Oreochromis niloticus: one gene and its partner. The protein of the gene in region 1 purifies or fractionates together with the protein of each later gene. This does not show direct contact. Links are inferred from orthologs where the notes say so. Each region holds a gene or a part of one and is shown on either strand. Other genes may lie near its edges.

Region 1 (11,274 bases):
AGTAATTTTACAAAAATGAGCCAGGAAAGATTAAAAAATATGTATATATACTGCTGACATTAAAAAAAAAAAAAAGTTTTTCATTTTGTCTTTAACAAAACAGAAGAAATAACTATGAACTACAGTTTGACACAAGTGTGTTTTAAATCATGTAAACCTTTAAATATTTTACACATTGAAAGAAATATAAATATGTCTGTAACTGAATGCATTTTAAACCACTCTTTGTTTTCATGGCATATAGCCACAGGGTTCAGTTTGGTCACTCACTGAGCAGGTGGTGTGTTTCATGTAGGTTCAAAAGAAAAATAAAACTCTTCGAATGGGGAGGGGGGGTAACTCACCTTGACATGTCAAGCTCAGTGCCAGAAGAACAAACGTCCTCAGAGCTATCATCTTCAGGCCGTCCCGGTCACCAGGTGCTGGCCCCTTCTTCTCAAAAAGCCGTCCTCCAGTCCAGCTGTGTGGTATTACTCCACTACAAACTGCTTCTAATGTGCCAAAGCTCAGATGAGACTCTCTATTTCACGTACTGAAAAGACTCTGTAGCTCTTTCGTAGCTGCAGCCCGGCTGCTCACAATGAACAGTTAACTGTGAGTGAAGTCACCAAATCCCCATCACCGCTGCCACCAACACCTTCCAACTCCACCACCCAGCCCACTTTGTTCACTCGCTCTTTTTTCAGAGGGCCCTGCGGATATCTGGACAACTTCCTGCCACTGTGTGGAGAAGAAAAGGAAGGGCGATAACCATATGTGCACGTATTTGTGTGTATGCGTGTGTTTGTAATTCTTACTGTGACTCAGGGAGCTGCTGGGAGAGCCGTTACTTCATATTGTGCAAAAAGCTGCAGGGCGTGACGAGACAGCTTGGTTTGAATTTGATGATTTCACACATACACACACATCTGCGGAGTCCTAACAACTTGACTGTGACTGCTCTGCCTTTGAAAGAATTCTGTAAAGTGCTTCTGGTAGCTGTTCACATTTAATTCACAAAGGAAAATATCAACTTTGACACTTGAGTTGACTTTGACCTTTTACATCATACATATCGAAACGATAGAATAGCAGTTTTGGTTTGGTTTGCCAAATGATGCTCCGAATAACATGAAACAATCGGAGGCCTCAAAATGAACGTAGTGCTTAAATTGTTTCAGCTACAGCAAGACAACTACACTGCTTCAAGAAGTGCAAATATAAAAGAAGGATCCGCCATCAAGTCTCAAACAAACGGTGTATAATACAAAGTTGGTATTAACATGGTAACAAGCACCAACATTGGTCTACGGGTCACCGACTCTCTCAGGTTGTTGCCCTGGAGCTCCTCTTTCAAAGCAGCATTCCTCCCAAAGCTCATTAAACAAGTTTCCAGTTCCACCAAAAGAACAAGATTGGTCCTTTTTGGAGTCACACAATCTTAAATTCATTTTTTTAAACACAGCACAGAAAACCTGGCGTGAAAGCGGCGCTGTCTTCTGCTCTATGCAGTGGCTATAGTAGTACCTGTAGACCTCGGACATGTTTGAGAAGACTGGCTCCAGACAGAGCTTAGAGATGGACGTTCCACCACAGTAAGATGACACTTTTGGTAAACTTTCTAGAAACTCCTTCAGGACTATATGCTCTGAAGCTTTACGGGATTTCCTCTGCATTCGCTTTTTACTGTTCTCCTCCAAATTGTCTAGCTGGGAGGCATTCTGGGCCCAGTTAAGCACTGACCACTCTCCAATCCCCAAAGTGGAGAGGAACATTTTTTTGCAAACTTGTTTTTTATCGCCATCTGCTATCAAATGATATCGCATTGAGACTGATCTTCTAGACTGAGTCCACGGTGCACGGGTTCTTTCCACCGGATCACAGTCCACAAGCCCAGCCACATAGACCTTCCTCTGAGTCCAGTTCATACACTGCCAGAAACCAGTGAACAGCTCATTCCGCTTTTCCTCACTAAAGTCAGCACAAAAACGGTTCGATGCCCTTTTGCAGGCACTGGATGTGCATCTTGGCCCCATTGACCTCTGAGCTTTAGTAATAGTGGCGCCATCTTTCTTTCTCTTGCTGGTGTATGGTTTTCCCTCCATCCTGAGTTGCTTCTGACGATTTTGTTTCCATGTTAGTGGTTTAGCAACTCTGGATTTCTTTCGGATTGCCCCCTCTGTTTCTGGTGGCCTGTTTTTGTCTTTGTCAGTTGCATTCATGTGTTCTGTAAAAACATGGGAACCTTATTAACATGCACGTATCATTATTGAGATATACCTCATTGCTTCTGCCAAAAATTGTGTAAATCAGGTCTATGAGTTTATAAAGTAACTGATAAACAGTGAAAGAAAAAACACTCACCTTGAGTAACTAATGCAGTGTTGCTGTCTACAGGAGGGCCAGTCACAACTGGCTTTTTTTCTGACTTGCTTTTGTTTGATTCAGTCTTTTCTGTTGCTGTTCTATGTGCCCAGTTGAGCACAGACCACTCTCCAATCCCAAGCGTGGACAGGAACATGTTCTTACATACTTGTGTCCGTTTGCCATCCACCATCAAATGATAACGAAGTGACACCGATCTCCTTGAAGGCAACCCCGCAGCCCGAGATCTTTCCACAGGGTCACGGTCGACTTGTCCTGCTACATAGAGCTTTCTCTGAGCCCAGTTCATGTGCTGCCAAAATTCATTGAACACCTTCTTCCTTGTTTCTTCAGTAATTTCACCACATAGCCGATTTGTCGTTTTTTTGCATGCATCCGAAGTGCATCTTGGTCCTATGGCTCTTGGGTGTTTGGTTACAATCTCACCATCTTTCTTGCGTTTGCTTACATATAATTTTCCCTCCATCCTCAGCTGTTTCTGCTTGTTTTGCTTCCACTTTAATGGATCTGCAACTTTGGCTTTGGTTATTTTTCTGACAGCGCCTACTTTATCCAAATTAAGATGTGCTGTACAAACAGATCAAAAAAACAGAAAACAGAAAAACATCTTTGTTGTTATTTTTCATCGCTAGCACTGGAGGTCTGGGATTTTTCAGACTTCCAAAAAATATTTCAGCAGTGTTTAAATATCAGCATTTTACAGCTTTTTATTTAATTTCTGCAGAAAAATAACAAAAATGCACTTGAACATGTATAAGGACATTTAGTAACACTAAAAAATGTATAAAATATCTTATCTCGGAATTAAACCCTCAAAATCTTTTCTAAAAAATATTGGAGATATTTAATGGTCTTATTATTATTCTGATAGCACTCAAGCATTTCAATTGAATGTTCACAAAAATAACTTTTTATAAATAATAACTTTATGAATAAATGAAGATGTCCTTGTGTGACAGAAATATTTGTTAACAAAAATTATTTTCATGTCCATGTATATACCAGTTGTCCCCCACCATACATTACAAATCCATAATATACTTCTATTTAATTCCGTAATTTTTAATGACTTCTTCAAACTGTTGTTTTTCCAGGGGTAAAATAATTGTACTGAATACATCTTTATGACTTTAAAAAACAAGAACTGGATGCACAAGTTTGAATTTAGTTTATTTTTTGTTACAGTTCAATTCACAAATACCAGGCATCATGTATCACTATCACACAAGGACATTTTTATTTATTACTACCAGCCTAAACATCCATGTCATTTACATGGATGGTAATCATTAAAACTAGAGATGCACCAATAGGCACACAAACAGCAGCACAGGCAAATACTTGCATGCACACTTGTACATCCAAGTAAAGCTGGATGTACATTAACTCTTATTTGTACTTACGAGTGTCAGCACCCACAGGTGCTTGGTGATGTACAGGAAATTGGGAGATCATCTGCTGCTCACCTATTGTCATTGAGTGGGACCATTTTTTAACCACTCCATCTTTGTCCACGTCAGAGTTCCTGCTTGCATCACCGACATGCAGGTGGTCTGTGTAGAGAAACATACATTGTAACAAGCAGCAATGAGCTGACTGTCCAGAATTCTGTCAGCAGTAACTCTCCCCATAGTCTCCACATGTAATTGTGCACACATCAACAGCCTATTTTACATTGTTGTAGCTCACATTCATGTTCAGTAAATATGTCTGTTTGTATGAAGCTTTGTTTTGTTTTTAAATATACTCCATGTTTGCCTGTATCAATGGCTCTGTGGTTTATTGAGTCATTTATAGACCCAAAATTGAACTCAAAATGAGCTTTAATGTTGATTTTCCAGGTGATAAACTGTCCAGAATACACAAGACAAGTTACAAAAAATAGGACATTTATACATCTACATTATAAACACAAGGGCTACAAAGACAAGGAACAGGGAGCTGGAGGGATGAATCAATAAAGGCTAAAAACACAAGAGTATACAGAAATAACTCTAAAAAAAGAATATTAACAAAACACAGAAAAAACAAAACAAAGAACTGAAACCCCAGATACTCAGAAGCTACTAATCATCCGTAATCAAACAGACACTGACACTGACCCTTATGAACAAAAAGAATCATTTAAAAGTGTGAAATATTCAAGCAGTGACCAGAGTGGCCTGGGATTATGTTACATTTTGTGAATTATTGTTTAAGTCTGCCTCTGCTTGTTAGGTCAGGTGAATACCTGATATTTTTCACATTTCATTAAACATTGCATGAGCTCATATACCCACCTGGGGGGATGTGATGCTGCCCAAAAGTGTCAGGGACTGTGGGTCTGTGGACTGGGGTTTCGTGGGTGGGTTTGGGAAGGAGACCAATATCCTCCATTGCTGCAATGGCTAAAACATGAAAAAGAAAAGAATTATTATTGTATTTTACGATTGATTTTAAAATCGCATTTTCTCCAGCTATCTTTCTTTCCCCTCTTAAGACATCACTAAAAGCAGCCTGAAACCCCGTCAGTGCAGCTGTTTACTGTCCACAACAAACCCATGTGGCCAAATCCAGATGTTTTAGCTTACGTAGAAGTAGGCGTTGCTGGGCCTGAGAGTTACGGGAAAAAGCAGATCGAGAAGCTGTTCCTAACGCGGTATGTCTGGCTAAGCTCTTAACCCTTCATGCAGGCTGAAACCTTTAAAACGACACATTTCTGCCGTTCGTGTTTGCTTACATAGCGTTATACATTTGAAAACGTCTCGTAAACCCGTCGCTTCCATCCAGACCAGCTCCCAAATGTCCCCGCTGCCAACTGTTTACTCCATCGTGCCTCTGGCAGCGAAACTCCGCAGCAGTCAAATCAGTTAACTCGACTTTTATTTGGCTAAATGTTCATAACTGTAGGCTCTGAGGGGCTTCTCACAGGCAGCTGCCATGTCTGAGCATGCGCATCCAGGCTTTCCAGGGTACATACAAGTGACTTTATGGTGTGACAGTTTATAACAGAGATGCGAGCTCAGTTTCACAAATGTATGAATCACATATGTGTAAAGTTACGCCTTAATTTCATCCAAAGTGAAACAAAAATTAATATTATTGTTGCAAATCCCATAAGGTCTTCTGACACTATTCTAATGCAGGCCATCTATGCAAGTCTTACTGCAAGAATAATTTATATAATTCAATTCTGTGGTTACAAATAGATTCATTGCTTTAGTTTGCACTAGAAGAACAATAACAGCAATGTGCCTTACTACTTAAATGATTACTACTTTTTCATTTTTCAAATGTAGTGTCCCATACTGATTTTTAAATGAAAACTCTTTAATCAACCCACTTGCAGTTATGTATAGTGTTCCTGTTTTCAGTGCACACAATGTATTTGATTGTGCACTGAATTTAAAACGAGTGATATCTAACAACCTGTAAATATGCTTTTATATACTGAAAACTGCTATGAAAAAAGACAGTGTAAGAGCATCATTCTCCATAATAATAGGTCTAATAGGTCAACATAAGGATTCAAATTAGAAGTATTCAATGGCTGCTCTCAGCTCAATATTTTGAGTGATGGAACTAAATCTATTTACGATAGTAGCCTATTTTATTTACCATCTGTGGTTTGCACCATCGCCTCACAGCAAGAAAACCCTGGGTTCAAATCCATCACAAGGCTGGAGCTTTCCTGCATGGAGTTTGCATGTTCAAAACCCTGAATTGGATAAGCATAAGAAAATGAATGGATGGACTTGATTTTTTTCATTTAGTAAAGCGTGCTACTTTTGAACAGATTACTGTCGATTTAATTAACAGTTATGATTACTAGGTACTAGAAACTCTTCATTCCGTCCAAAATTAACCGCAGTGAACTACAGTATAAACATGCTGCATAAATTTTAAAGAAATAATTATCCCAAAAGTATGTTATATACTGCTGCAGTTGAAATTTCGAAAATAGTTTCCATTTCCCAACATAGAAACTAGAATACAGTAAAAACACAAAAAGGGATATTGTATTGACTGAATCCAGATTAAATTGGTTTAGAATTCTAAATTTTAACCTCAGGTTTTTTATGCAATAAAGGATAAATCTGTTGTTTTTTAAGTGCTGAAGTGTAAGAAGTTGGCTAAAGATGTATTTCATTGCTTTTCAAAATAAACAGCAAAGCAAACACATGCTTTGTGATTTACAGGGGTTTACAAAGAGGGTTCCTAAAATAGTAGGAACACTTTTAGCTTTGCTTTTTCCAGCCATCAAACCGGAAAGAAGGGAAAGGAAGGAAGCTGTCAGGGAGTTCAAAGTTTCTGTTGGGGGTTTCAGTGTCCAAGACCAGGCAAGAGACAACATGTGACTGTCAGCCAGGCAAATCAGGCAACTGCTTCTGTGAGATGAAAAGAGGAAGATCTCAGAGGAGGTTCATGTGGCTATTATTGTCTGAGTTTACACTCAGTCTAAACCAATAAAGATAATTAAACAATATGTATCAAAACTACATCACAAAAAAATATACATAGCTATTTAGTCTACTGTTGTTTCTGGGACCAGAATGCATGAATGAATGAATGAATATATGAAAGTACAAAAATATATATCCAAGCGATTTATGTAATTACTGTGATTCTAGCTGTTGTTCATTGGAGACGCTAGAGTCAAAAGCTCATGCAATTGTACCTCCTCGCCACATGGGGTCGCTGTTGGACTGGTTTTCATATCAGGCACATCCTATCAACTTTGCAGTGTTGGTGGCAGCAGGCACTCCACACACTGAAGTTATTCTTCAAAAACAAGTTTTCTGAGGAATAATGTTGAAATAAAAACGTCACGGTTTAAGTAAAGGTAAGTTTTGTTTGTCGTTGGTCTTCGGTAGGAGGACGTATGTGGGACTTTCCATTACCAAGGCTCTATAAATAGTTAGTTTCGGTTTCAGTTTTGCCAGTCACTGGTCGTCGGTTCGTGACTGAACAGGCTGCCGGTTTGTAGATATTAAATTAACGTTTTGAACTTGGTCTGAGGTTATATTCGACTTTTTCAAAGGTTTGCGACGTTCGTCGAAGCAAATTTGTCGTGTCGCAAAGAAACTGAGTAAGTAGGTAGGTTGGATTTAAGGGTAATTTTAACAGTTGCTATCCCCTGTAAATTCATGTAGTGTACGCTATCAATGCTGTTTATGATAATAGGTGTGAACATTTGCCATAATTGTTTGTATATGTGTGTGATGTTTGGTTTATTCACGGAGCCATTTCAAAGAAATCATCAGGGCAGCAGAAAATGAAAGTAAATGCGATCGGCAGCAAAGTGAAAGTAAATAGGGACCATTGTCTTTGAAAGGCATTCAAAATGTAGGCCTGGTGTGGAGGTAGAAGTGACCAGGTGTCCATTTTTATGTGCATCATGTTTGATCCGTCAGTCCCATCTACCCAACACATATAGACGTAATGTCCCTCTTCCAGGCGAAAAAGGAAATACTCTGGTGTACAAAGACTAGTGCATGGTGCGTTAAAACGTTAATAAATGAGTATAAGTTGAAAAAGTAAAAATACAATAGATTCTGTCAAAGATTGCCCACTGGTGACACATAGATCATCCGTATTTTATGTTTTTGCATGTTTGCATATTGTGCTGATATTAATACTCAGCTGTCTCTGTCATTTGTTTTTGCAGAGTGTGTGCGTAATGCAGAAGATGAGCTACTTTTTCCCGGTGCTTTGCGTGTGCCTGGATGTGTGTGTGGTGCACACCATCCGCCTGTCCCAACTCTCGCCTCTCCTGCTCTCCCATCCGTTCATCATCCTATGGGGAGGAGCCCTGACCAGAGCCTCCGTCCTTGCCTTCCTGGCCTTCACCTATCCTGGAAGCCTACCATGGACTAAAAGCTTCGAGGGGCTCCAGAGCTTAGGGGTCCTTTGCTTCCACTTCCCAGTGTACGCTACTCTTCTCTGGGTGCTTGGGCAGTCCACCATGGAGGAACTGTGGGGGTGGCACTCCTGGGAGAGGGTGAGTGTATGTGTTTTGTTGCCTGCCATGCTACAATATGTGCAACCTTGGTGAGCTGCAAGAAGGAAAATATGAAATCATTACCTAATGCACTTTGAGGGGACATATCTCAATAAGAAATTTGCTTTTTTACGTGCAAAAAGCTGTCTGTGAACTGCAGGATTCTTACTAGCTACTTTGAAGTTTAAAATGCGTTACACAAATCTTATGATAAGAGTTGCAGTTTATTGTTCTATATCAGTAACTTCTCCAGCAGCAGAAAGTTGTAAAAGTGCCAGTTAAAACTGCAGTATCAGTAACAACAATCAAATATATTAGATAATGAAAATATCAGGAGCATTTGGCTGAAATAAGAAGCATGAACACAAGTTAATGTATCTATAATCTATATTTTTTTATGCTATTTTTACTTGGAATGTTTTTACATTGTGTTACTGCTATTTGTGGCCACCTCCTTTACCACTGTTACTGGCCACCCTGCAGTTCTTCAGTTCTTCTTCTTTTGTTTCATGACAGAAAACCACTTAACAACTTTGTGACTACTGCCAGCATGGCTGGGATACACATAAATTGTTGCTTTCACATGTCTTAAGTCTGATCAGCAGACAAAACTCACATTTACAGATTAATATAATGAAAAAGTGAATCTAGTTTTGCTCTATATGTGTTTATTAGATTTCTAGTAGTAGATATCTCAGATAATTGAACAGCTTCCAGTGTAATTTAACTGTTTTTGAGCAGAAAAATAAAAATAATGTATAAAAGATACTCAGCCTGGAACAAGATCTGAAACCAAAACCAATTTATTTCATCTAAGCTAAATAAACAAATATATAATGGTTATATTAAACCTGTCCTTTGTCCTGCAGGTGTTACAGGGTTATATTGTGACAGTGGTGGCCTGGCTCTACTGGAGTCGGTATGTGTCATCTCTTTTGATCTCCTGGGGCCAGTACATTTCATCTTTTATTAAGAGGACACCATCTCAGAAGCCAAAAGAGGAGACTGGGGCCTCTCTGAAGAGACTGATGGGATACATGCAGCCCTTTTTCTGGCGCTTTGTTGCTGTGCTGATACTTGTCTTTCTCTCGTCTTATGGTATGTGAAATAACACCTTTGAAGTGGGGTCTGTTGTGCTTTTTCTTTATTTCCATCATATTTATAGTATTACAATGGTGTATATTCATATTAAACATCACCAGAGTGACAAATAATGAGGTTAGCATACGTGAAAGTAACGTCATGCTTCAGACTCTGTTTCAGATAGTTTTTTCTACTACTGACTCTGTATAATGTCATTGGGAGCTGATTTCCCCAACTTGGTCATCTGTGAAGAGAGAAGCTTCAGCCACCTGCTGTTCAAACATTCTGTTTAAAGAGAGGGGGAAGGGTGATAAATGTGCCCGTTCCAGACAGTGAATAACCTAGAGGGTTGTATTAAGGCCCAGTATAAGATAAATAAGGATTATTTTGAACTTTGAATCATGTGTGGAGCTCCTTTAGTAGAGTCCAAGAATATCAATCTGGAGCCTAAATTGTAATATGCCTCTTTTCGTTTAAATTAAAGCGTGTATGTCCTTCTTGCCACTACAGTGTTTTGAAATTATATCCAGTAGTTATCATTGTGTTCGTGTCAGTGTCCTCATGCTGTTAATTTAAGTATAGGAAAAAAGGTCTTGTTTTCTGCAGCACTAGCTGCATATCTGTAATAATGCCAGCAACATGAAACCGTAATTGTAGGCAAATAAAGAAATGTAATCACAGTCCACTGACGCTGCTGAGTGTAAAAGTTAACCTGGCAGTTGGGCTTTGCCAAAGATCAGTATGGTGATAATGTTAACACCTGCTTTCAGGTGAGATGGCTATTCCTCAGTACACTGGACGCATGGCTGACTGGATCATGAATGAAGAAGCACCTGACGCCTTCACAGAGGCCATTACAATCATGACACTAATGACCATTGCCAGGTAATATAACCTTTGTCTTCTTTGGTTATTAAAGTTGGTTTTTAAAGGTTCTCTCTGTTTACTAATGCAGAACGATTTAATTAGAATAAATAAAAAACATGTAATCTGTTTGCTAAAAATTTCCGGGAGTTTTTATTTTTTAATACTCGGAAATGAACTGAAAGAGTGTTGTGAGGATGGTCAACGTTAACCTAGGATGCTTTTTACACCCGAGCTCCTCCTCCAACCCATGTAGTGTAGTTTCAGTCAATTCTGATATGTGTACAACAGAAGCTTAACAAAAGCTTAAGGATATGGCTGTAATAATATTTTATGTACTTTTAGTGTAACTCTTTCTCTGCTTTATGTCTCAGTGCTGTGCTCGAGTTTATATGTGACCTCACGTACAATATCACCATGAGCCGCATACATACCTCGGTGCAGGGAGTCGTCTTCCAGGCCGTGCTGAAACAGGAGATTGCTTTCTTTGATGCCACTTCAACAGGTAAATTATGTACAAACTGTATACAAGATTAATGTTTCATTAATTAATAACTAAAACCCTAAAGGCCAATCTCAGTTTCCTCTTAAAAAGTTTTGTGAACTTGTTACAAATAATCCAGAAAAAAGAAGTATATATACACTTAAAATGTGATCCCTTTAAGAAGACTCATGCTGTACTGTTAGGTGAACTGGTGTCACGGATTACCACTGATACCAACAGCGTGAGTGAAGCTCTGAGCGAGGAGCTGAGTCTTCTGATGTGGTACACGGCACGTTTCGGCTTCCTCTTGTTCTACATGGTGAGCCAGTCATGGAAAATGACGCTGCTCACATGCATGGGGCTGCCCATCATCTGGGTCATACCCAAGCTCACCGGACGCTTCCACCAGGTGATGTGAAAAATTTAGCTTTAATTACTTGTTCATCAGCTCTCCTCTGATCAGTTACATTAGTGACGAATCAATAAGGTGTGTCTTGAT
Region 2 (10,889 bases), on another chromosome or scaffold:
TACTTGAATGACTCTAAATTGTCAGAAATCTTTCAGTCCGGCTTTAAGCCATTCCACAGTACGGAGACAGCCCTCGTAAAAGTTATGAATGACATCCTGATAGTGACAGACCGTGGTAAATATGCAGTGCTGGTCTTGTTGGACATGACCGCTGCATTTGACACAGTGGATCACGATTTGCTGATCTCCCGCTTACAACACTGTGTGGGAATTTCTGGTTCGGCACTTTTGTGGTTAAAGTCCTATCTCTTAAATAGGACCTTTTGTGTTAAGTTGGGGTCGGCTTCATCCTCTGTGGCCCCTCTGCTTTGGGGTGTGCCACAGGGATCTATTCTTGGACAGTTATTGTTTTCACTGTACCTTTTGCCTCTTGGCGCGATTTTCCGAAAACATAAAGTGCCATTCCATCTATATGCAGATGACTGCCAGCTCTATTTACCTTTTAGTCATTCTGATAGTCTCCCAAGTCGACCTCTGCTTGACTGCCTTACTGATGTCAAAGCATGGATGGCAAAAAACTTTTTAAATTTTAATGATCGGAAGACAGAAGCGATTTTATTTGGCCCAAATCGTTTTTCTCATACTCCAGATGTTGATCTTGCAGCTTCGACTTCCCAACTAAAGAGTTCGATCACAAATCTCGGAGTTAAAATTGATTCTGCACTTACCTTTGATGACCACGTAAACGGGGTGGTAAAATCAGCATTCTATCACCTCAGACGTTTAACGAAGGTTAAGCCCTTTCTTTTCTTGTTATTCATGTGTTATTCATGCCTTTATTACCTCACGTTTAGATTATTGCAATTCTCTTTTAATAGGGGTTGGGCAGGGCACTTTGTCACGCTTGCAATTAGTGCAAAATGCTGCGGCACGATTTTTAACTGGCAGAAGGAAATTTGATCACATCACTCCGATTTTGGCCTCTCTACACTGGCTTCCAATTGAATTTAGGACCCGTTTTAAAGTCCTTTTATTGTTTTTTAAACAGCCCGTTCTCACTCCCGAGGCGTAACATGCTGACATTTTGTCACGTCCCGCGGCGTTCCTGAGGAACGCGAAAGGAGACCTTCGGCGTTCTTATGGTACGCGGCGGGTTATGGCTGAAATCCAGTGCAATGACGCTCCCGCGGTAATAGACGTTCCAGCCCTGTATTCCAGCCCTAAACCTAACCTTATCCCTAACCCTAACCATAACCTTATTCCTGACCTTAACCAGGACTTTAATGATGTTAAATAGCGTGTTTCTAAGCGATTTGAAGAAAAAGAGTGAACATGTGTAGATTGAGTCCAGATGGTTCTCACATTTCCTCATTTTTCCGAGGTCGTCATTTAGGAACGTGGTGGGTAGCCGAAAACGTAATATGTTGACGATTTGTCACCTAGCGTAAAATGTTACGCTTTGGGAGTGAGAACGTGTTGTTTTAAATCTCTAAATGGTCTGGCACCTGTTTATTTGTCTGACTTGTTGAAGCCCCATGTCCCCATTCGTTCCCTTCGATCAGCTGAGCAGTTGTGTTGCTTTCGGTCCCAAAGTCATGGCTGAAACTTAGAGGAGACCGAGCGCTCTCTGTAGCAGCGCCGATGCTTTGGAATAACCTTCCTCTCCATATTAGACTGGCTACATCAGTGCCAGTTTTTAAGTCTTTATTAAAAACCTATTTTTATTCCCTGGCTTTTAACTCTGTGGGTAACTGACTTTTTTTTTTTTTTTTTGCTGTCTGGTTTTATTACTATGTGCATATTAGTATTGTACAGCACTTTGGTCTACCAGGTGTGTTTTTAAAGTGCTATATAAATAAATGATGATGATGATGATGATGATACTGAATGACTATTTTTCCATCAGTGGGATTTTTGCTGTGACTTATCAAAATGATGCTACAGCGAAGGAATGGAACCATCATAGATGATGAAATGTTAGTGTGACTGTTTCGGCCGTACCATTTCATTTATTTTCGGCAGATCATCTAAAATGTTTCCATGTAAATAATTATGGTTTTCAGTCATTTTATGCAAAAAGGACTCCTCTATGTTAACTGAGCTATTTTCATTGTCATGTTGGACGTTAAGTATCTGCCTCAGGCTTTAGCAGTGGTATAATCTATTAGCCGTGGTTCAGACATACTGGGACTCAACCAGATTTAATGCATCCAGATAAGAGGAGAAGAAAAATGGACCTAAACTCTGATAAAATGTGACTTTTATCAAGCTACAGAACTTATTTAACTAAGCTGGATTGTATTTTACTCATTCTGCTGATTCTGTATTCAAATAATTTGACCACACTAACTTTAAATACACGCACAAAGGCCCACACAGGTGAATGTAAAATAGCAGAGTGCACACTGTACACTCTCTCTCTCCAACATCCAGACACATGTGTGGTTAAACATCTTCTTCTCTGTCATTTTTAACTAACCGATCACAGAGTAGACTCTTTCGGGGTTGATGTCTTTAGGAGCCCGCTGGGACTCGTCATTCTGTCCGTCTTCTTCAGTTCTGATGTGAAGCAGGGATTTTTCTTGGGTCGTAGCTCCAGTTAAACCTCCTCCTCGTCCTGCCTTCTCCTGCACAAACCAGCACTCCAACACCGGACAGCTGCTGCTGCTGCAGGCTTCAGACAAAAGTTTAACAGGAGATTAATGGGTAGTAAAATCTCTGTAAATATCAGACCACATTATATTATGCCATTATGTTTCCCGACATCATGCACTCAGAAAATTATTGTTGTGCTAACTGTCTTTTCAAGCTCAACCAATAAACAAGGCAGTTATAGGAATTATTATTGAAACAGAAAGTTAAAACAAGTGTAATATGTTTCATGAGATCCAGTTTAAAATCACAGCTAAAAGTAAAAGTAAAAGTCCAGTTCTGTCTGGCAACCCATAAATATTGTACTTAACTGTTTCCACCCCTTCAGTGTTTTGCTTTTGGTTTATTCCCCTCCTTTTTTTTTTTTTTTGATTTTTCATTTAGCAAACAGGCAGCAGCCCATCTACCTTTCCCAGAAAATTAAGTCTCCAGCTGTTTCCTGTGCACAGTCTTAATCACTAAAGTGAAGACAGCACTGCTTCAATTTGTGATTTCAGGTATTGGTGATTGTATTTCTAAATACTGTAGACTATAGTCAGCAGGATTTACAAAGGGGTAACATGTAAAACAAAGAGTATCTTTATGACTCTTGTTTTTTTTAATTGTTTTATTGTACCTACTTCGTAACCAATTCAGACCTTTTTGGCCTTTTAAAATATCTTTATTTAACTGTTGTTATATTTGTTGTAGTTTTCATATACGATATGGCCATATGGCCATATGCCTCTAAAAGAAGACGTTTTTAATGTCCGTGACACTTTTTAACTGGTTAAATGTAGGATAACTTTGCCAGAAAGTGATTGCAGCTTCTACGTTCTTTCACATATTAATGGTCAACAAGTAATTTACAGCAGTTTAAATATAGATGATCACTTTTCGGCAAATACCGGAAATCACTTTTGGACAGACGATCACGTTTTTGGCACGAAAATAGGCGTGTTAAATTTCGGTTATTTTTGTTAAACGTAATCATGCATACACCTATAACATTCACTTACATGTTTTAAGACGCATTTGGGCATTATTTTAAATTCGGCTTTAAAAGGGTCATCAAATATGAACTTTACTATGTTTAGTTAAACGTGACGTTATAGTCCAAGTTGGTTTGGACATTTTCAACCAGCTGTTTTGCAACTTTTTGATGTTACTGAACAGATAGATGACTTCCATGCATATAAAAAAGGTTTTTCTTACATGTACGGTTTATAATATTAGTAATACAGCATGCATAGATGTATTTTTGTCTGTCAGACCAGCAGAGCAACAATGAGCTCGACTAGCTTACCTTGAATAAAGCAGGTAACGGCGATCAGAGACAGTTTATAGATGGTAGATAATTCCGTCATGTTTATCCGTGTTTCCTCACAGACAGATACCCTCGTTTAGCTGCAACCAAACGGACTAAACAAGGTTTAGTTGGCTGGTTTTCCCCTTCAAGTACGAGATCAAGTTTAGTTTCGCTTTCACATACAGACGAGTCCGACAGTTATCCAGGAAAAACACAAAAACACGCCATAAGTTTATAATATATCAGGATTAGCTGACATGAGAGTGAATGTGTATCTGGAAAATTAAAGTAACTGGAAGCCTAAAAACAAAGATTTTACAGTAGCTTAAAAGAATACGTCTTCAAAATTGCATTCAGGAGTACTGCCATCCCACCGCTAGATGGCGCCCTCTGGCTAAAAATAAACCAAAGGCAAACTGTGGAGTAACGTGCTACGTTAGTGGCAGCAAGGCATCAGAAAGATAACCCAGTCTGAGGGCAGGGGTCAGATGAGGACAAGAGAAACAGAAAAAATAAAAAGTCTTAAATCTAAACACACAGCCTTTGTTTTTATATTGTAGTAGCAGCATACTGAGTGTATAGGCCTTGGTTTTAGTAATAGAAGTTCTTTTTTTTAATTTATGTTTTTTAATGCATACAGAATTCATGGTAAATTACTTTTCTGTATGAGTTTAGTAACTTGTTCTTTACAGATTAAAAGTTAGCTGTACACTTTATTTTTATATGTATGTCCTTCTGACCTGTCTAAAATTTTGATGTTAATAATTGATTGTTTCACTTCTTTATTGTTGCAGGAACGTTGCAGAACAAGTCAGACAAGAAGCCTTAACGTCCTGGCACACATATATTAGATAACAGCCTAAAACGAAACTTAACAGAGTGATCACGTGGTTTCACAGAAAGAAGTGGAGATGGAGTGCCGTTTGAGTCCAGTGGTGGAGCTCTAACACTGTGACTGACCTTTCTGCAAAACACCACCAACAGAATTAGTGAGGCTTGCTACTGTAGCTTTAACTGATGTGATTTCCTCATTGTTTGCATCAAAGTCACACCAGGGGCCCGTTCTTCGTACCTCGCTTACTACATCCAAGATCAAATGACACATCCAAGATCAAATCATCGCGCTAACTTTGAGCTCGCTAATCCGGTTCTCCGAACACACCTGTTGTTGACGATTAGTATAGCTGGATGAAGTAATCTGAGATCACTGGGTGGCTTAAAAGGGGCTACGCATCGATAGTAGAAACACTGATCGGCAACCCTGTGATTGGTCGGCGAAGATGTCGAAGGAGCGCGCACAGTATTTCACGGCAGCAGACCAAGAACTCTTGATTGAGGGATATCAGGAGTTTCAGAGTTTAATTAAAACGCAAGGGAACACTGCAAAGGCTGCAAAAGCAAGGAGAGAGGGCTGGCAGAAAGTTGCTGACAAATTAAACTCGTAAGTGATCCATGATATTACATTATATCATGTGATATTATATTATACCACATTATATTATATTACATCATATCCTCTTTCACATTAGAGCCACAACAGGACCCACTAGAACATGGGAAAAAGTAAAAGTGAAATATAAGAATATTCCACAGAATGGTAATATTTATCACTTATATTGCTTTTAGTCTATGAGAAGAGACCCTGGAATAATCTGTTTGTTTGTTTATAACAGCAACCAAGAAAAGGGCAGAGCAAATAAAGACAGGTGGTGGTCCTGCACCCCCTCGTCACACCCCTTTTTGTACTGTGACATTTATTGACATTGTGGGTTTTTTGTGTGTAGTTTGACATAACACTCCATCACTTTTACCTGTTCCCATGCAACGGGTGACTGAGCCATGCACAGTAAGTCGGGAGTAAGTATATTGCTCGCGTACAAACGGACAGGACATGGCTGCGACAGACTTCCCAAATCCACCTTCGCTTTTATAGTCGTGGTCTCTCATCTTGATTGCACGTAGTAATTTACTATTACTACTCTAAAATATGAATTACATCTGACATGATCTACTACATGTAATAGAATGATTAATAGTACATTTCCCTTTTTTTAGGAAATGACCTGTATGTATCTGTATGAAATCAATAAAAGAATCAAATACATTATCTTTAGTTACATTGATGATATTTATTTATGGTAAAACAGTGGCGAAATATCGCTCTTGCTTTCATATAACTGCAGCGGACATACCTGAGAGGCCGCGATCTAATCCTGTTTACATAAAGTAAGCCTGCTCCCGAGCAGGTTTACGCTTACGGATCTGTTGCTATGACAGCAAGTCCCAGATGAGCTTCGGAGAACCGAACGATCCAAGATCACGCGAAATCGTCAACATTCAAATCCGGCTAACTTACTTAGCGAGGTACGAAGAACGGGCCCCAGAAAAGCCGCAGCAGGGTTTGTCTGATAGACACAAGGAAACAGGTGACAACATATGTGTTACCTATGATTATAGAAGAATTAAAAGATTCTAATCAAAAGATGACCAAGCTATATAACTTGGAGCATGTAGAGCATAGATATCATACGTATAAAGATTTCCATCTGTATAAAATAATTACATTATAAAATAAGAGTGAATGATAGGCGTTTGTCTATTTGCCATTTAAATACACCAAGAGAAGAGACTGCAGAGGTGCTTTCAGTGTAAAGTCTTCTGTGACAACATGATTCATTTTCCTAACAAATGTGGCACCAATTCAGGAGAAATAAACAGGTCTTTATTCTAAGTTTACCTCATCTAAGTTTACCTCTTCTAAGTTTACTTCCTCACACTTTGCAAATATAATAAATGCAGACAAATTAACAGATTAAACATCAAACCTGGATTATGCAAGCACTTTCTTTGTTCATTAAAAAAAATTAAATCTATTCTGCTTTAATTTTAAATTGAAAAAAATATTACAGTGTAAGTATGGTGCTATCATGTCTCTCATCCTCTGGTTCAGTCTGCTGAAAAACATGGTCTGTCATATATGTAGGTGTTTGACAGGAAGATTTGTGGGCCCAAAAATGACTTTGCAACACAGAACTGAGCTAAAAGTCACAGCTTTAATGCTGGGGGAAAAAGGCAAAGGAGCCAACTAAACAGTCACTAACATAAAATAAATTGAGTCATGGAAACCCTCAGATTTATGCAGTTTTGCAACAAAGGGGCCAGCCCTTGTACTTTGCCAGACATTAAACTGCTGAACTGTGTATGATGGACCTGTTGCCACAGTAACCAACTTAGAGTTCAAGTTAACTCTCCCCAGATTATCCCTTGCTGCAACACCCCAGGATTAAACTTGGAGCATGTTCCAGAAAGACATAGTACATGGTAAAATAGTACCAAGTAAATAAGAATTTAAAAATACTTGCCAGGACTCAAAAAGGACAGAAACACCTGCATGACTTTTCCAGATCCAGATCCAGTCTTTTCCAGACAGGGGGAACACTAACACCAGGAACCAACAGAGGGAGCACCAACCCAGAAAATCACAAAACACAAACCATCCCAAGGCAAGAACACGAGTCCACAAATACTACTACCAACAACAACAACGACGATAATAATAATAATACTTCAAACCAAAATCACTGAGTCCGCGGACTCAGGACCATGACATTGTGTCTTGTTTCATTCTTCTATTCCCATGTTCCCCTCTTTGTTTCATTCCATGTCCCCCCCCCCGTCGATTATATTTATCTACGTTTCCCCAGCCCGTCATGTCTCTCCTTTCGCTCTCTCGCTCCCTCACTCCCTCCCCGCCCTTCCTCGCTACCTCTCTCTGTCACGACTGGGGCAGCAGCCGTGTGATGAGTGGAAAGGAGGACTCAAATGCAGCACTTACTAAGATGTGAAGGTGGTTTATTAAGAATACAGAACACAAAGTGGGGATGGCAAAACAGAACTAAGGATAAACTAAACTGGGGAAAACTAAACTATAGAACGGCAAACCTGAACACGAGAGGAAGACTGCGAGGAGAGCACATAGTGGAGTCACGGAGAGGTTAACGGAGCAATGCAGAGCACACAGGGTAACACAGAGGATGAACACAGAGGATGAACACAGACGACGCGACGAGGAACAGAGGCAAACACACACTATAAATACACAGAGGGACACTGGGAAATCACACACAGGTGGGAGACACAGCTTGACCTGATTAACCTGACGAGACAGGGGAACACTAACACCAGGGACCAACAGAGTCAGCACAAACCCAGAAACCCAGTATCCAAAACACAAACCATCCCAAAACAGCCCACAAATAATGAAAATAATAATAATAACAACAATAAATACACCAAACACAAAATCACTGAGTCACGGACTCAGGACCATGACACTCTCTCTGTGTCTCCTCTCCCTTAACTGTTGCCGTGTCCCCCTCGTTGTCTCCTCCAGTTATCTCCCTAATCCATCTCATTTCCCTGAGTGTTCTTTCCTCCCAGTTACCATGTTATGTTGTGAATTGCTGCGTCTCAGTACTTCCTGTTTTAATTTGATAGTCTCCTGTCTGATGTGCATCATATTCAGTTTTGTTTCCTCCTGTCTGGTTAGTTAGATCACGTTCCTGTGGCTTTTCCCCTCATTTTCCCTTGTGTGTCTCCCTCTGCCCTGCGTTACGATCTCCCTCGCGCTTCATGGCTGCGTGTCTCTCTGTGTATTTAGTTCAGTTTGCATTTTCTCTGGTCCAGCAATTAAGCTGAGTTTGAGTTTATTTTCGTGTCCATGAGTCATACAGTCCACTTTAAGTTTATGTAGGCCAGACCAGTGAAATGACAGTTTCTACCAATCTGCAGAAACTTAATTACATGTTTAATGCCTTACATATCTTCTATAAAAAATGAAGTGCTGTTTCAACAGAAAGAAATCTGTCACCATGACTCCTTGGGCTTACATTTTAAAAAATAAATTAGTGAAATTACACATTTATCAGTAGAAGAAGCTTAAAACATACCAAAATACAACTAAAAACACAACATTTCTGTTCTCCTTCACATTTTCCAAAGCCATTGAATGGGCCAGACTGGAGTCATTGCTAGGCCAATTTTACCCCCCAGGCCTTATGTTAGACACCCCTGCAACAGAGTATCTTTAGGATGCTGAGAAGCAGAAGAACCACATGATGAAAGTGTGTTGATGCTAAAATCTCTGAGGAATCTTCCCAGCACCTTGTTGAATCTATGACATGAAAGCAAAAAGGGATCCAACCTGATACTAGCAAGGTGTACCTAATGAAGTGGCCAGTGAGTGTAGTATTAGTAGTTGGTGTAGTAGTAGCTGTCATTGGCTGAATATTGTTCATTAGTTGAATTATCTTTTTAGTTTGTAGTGCTATTTTTTTTTTTTTAAAAAAAGCCAAAATATTGAATTAAAAAAACAATTACATCATTTGTTTTGCAGTGACTCACTTCCTACAGTATTTCTACACTGGATCTTCTGGGGTGCCAAACTTCCCAGAGTTTGTGGTTGTTGGGATGGTTGATGAAGTTGAGATAATTCACTATGACAATAACACCAGGAGAGCTGTGCCCAAACAGGACTGGATGAAGAAAGTCACAGAAAATAACACACAGTACTGGAATACAGAGACTAAAGCACTGAATAACACCCTGCAGGTGTTCAGAAACAACATTGAAACAGCAAAGCAACGCTTCAACCAAACTCAAGGTTTTATTTCATGATTAATCTCAGTTTATTTTCTTTGTTGTACAGTACACCACTCATTTCTATCCATTAACATGCTTTTATTAAGTTACCTCTCATTGTCAAAGTATTTTCTTCACTCACACCCCTGAAAGAAACACAGATGGGTTTAACACACACATTAAAGGTGTGAGATCAGATGCTGTTTCTGACACAACTTTTGAGCCTCTGGAAATGAGGGACTGCGTAGTAAAATAGCTGTAATTCTTAAACAGTTGATGCAGAATTTTGATAAAACTATTTAAAACAAAGTTCAAAGTCTGCACATCAATCACAGTTTGATTGATTGAATTAAAATTCAGTGGTTGTGTATAAGCTCAACACTACAAATTTTTTTGCCTGTTTGTAAAAAAATATGCCCCCTATGTATATGCGTTATTACCTCATACAGGATCACTGATTTTATGTGTTCTCTTTTTTTTTTTAGGTATCCACGTTTTCCAGTTGATGTATGGGTGTGAATGGGACGACGAGTTTAAAGACATTATATCATCAGTATGGCTATGATGGAAAAGATTTTATTATATTTGATCTGAACACAGAAACGTGGATTGCTCCAAAAGAACAGGCTGTCATCACCAAACACAAGTGGGATCATGATGCTGATTGGAATACACAGACGAAACACTACTTAACTCAGGACTGTATTGAGTGGCTGCAGAAATATGTGTACTACGGTCGGCATAGCCTGAAGAGAACAGGTAGAATAATCTGATTTACACAGACTTTTTCAGTTTCAAATTCTGGGAAATCACTTTAACAATTTTACGACAGGTAATTTTACACAAGGTTTACAAGGTGATTTTGCAGAAATTTAAATGATCAAAGGGGAAATTAACCATAAATATATCTTAATGTGGTTGAAGAGGGGACATACTAATCCTAAAATATAATATTTAAATGCAGTTAATTAATGTGGGGATAGTTAGTAGGTGTGTAGGACAGAATCTAACATATGAAGTTTGTGAACTAGTTTGTGTGCTTTGACTGGTGCTATAGATATACATTTACAATACCTTCAGTCTTGTACTGCTTTTATAATTTTCTGTGCATGCATTCAAAGGACTCAAAATTAACATGTATTACAAAAATGTAGAAAATTCTTTATTGTCTAAGTAGTTTGTAAAAGCTTACTCCACAGAAGACTGCAATAGAGTTAAGATTCAAATTTGGGCTGCATGAAGTATAACGTAAACATGATACAAATTCCAACATCACTCAAGTCTTTGCAAGCCTAGAAGTGTTCATGAAGATTCCTTCATCAACTCTACTCTGAAATGTTAATTCTGAAGCAGAAGACTTCATATGGAT

Evidence for each region. The genes of interacting proteins can lie anywhere in the genome.
Region 2: the proteins of tap1 (region 1) and tapbp.1 purify together in Homo sapiens (co-immunoprecipitation; 6 studies listed by BioGRID and IntAct, with this or other methods). This does not show direct contact. The link is inferred for Oreochromis niloticus from reciprocal best matches to the Homo sapiens genes TAP1 and TAPBP.

The regions. Positions count from the first base shown.
Region 1 is NC_031976.2:34,273,508-34,284,781, reverse strand, and holds the start of tap1 (antigen peptide transporter 1), read left to right. Parts: upstream 1-7,047; 5' UTR 7,048-7,186; intron 7,187-7,272; exon of another isoform or gene 7,273-7,440; intron 7,441-8,011; 5' UTR 8,012-8,023; coding exon 8,024-8,344; intron 8,345-9,213; coding exon 9,214-9,442; intron 9,443-10,197; coding exon 10,198-10,312; intron 10,313-10,665; coding exon 10,666-10,796; intron 10,797-10,978; coding exon 10,979-11,184; intron 11,185-11,274. Other genes in the region: notchl (neurogenic locus notch homolog protein 1), read right to left, coding at 345-396; uncharacterized protein LOC102078248, read right to left, coding at 1,287-2,206, 2,344-2,931, 3,768-3,917, 4,644-4,751, 5,084-5,129. UniProt on the Homo sapiens protein: ABC transporter associated with antigen processing. In complex with TAP2 mediates unidirectional translocation of peptide antigens from cytosol to endoplasmic reticulum (ER) for loading onto MHC class I (MHCI) molecules.
Region 2 is NC_031985.2:8,756,516-8,767,404, reverse strand, and holds the start of tapbp.1 (tapasin), read right to left. Parts: upstream 4,251-10,889; 5' UTR 3,939-4,250; coding exon 3,878-3,938; intron 2,615-3,877; coding exon 2,420-2,614; intron 1-2,419. UniProt on the Homo sapiens protein: Involved in the association of MHC class I with transporter associated with antigen processing (TAP) and in the assembly of MHC class I with peptide (peptide loading).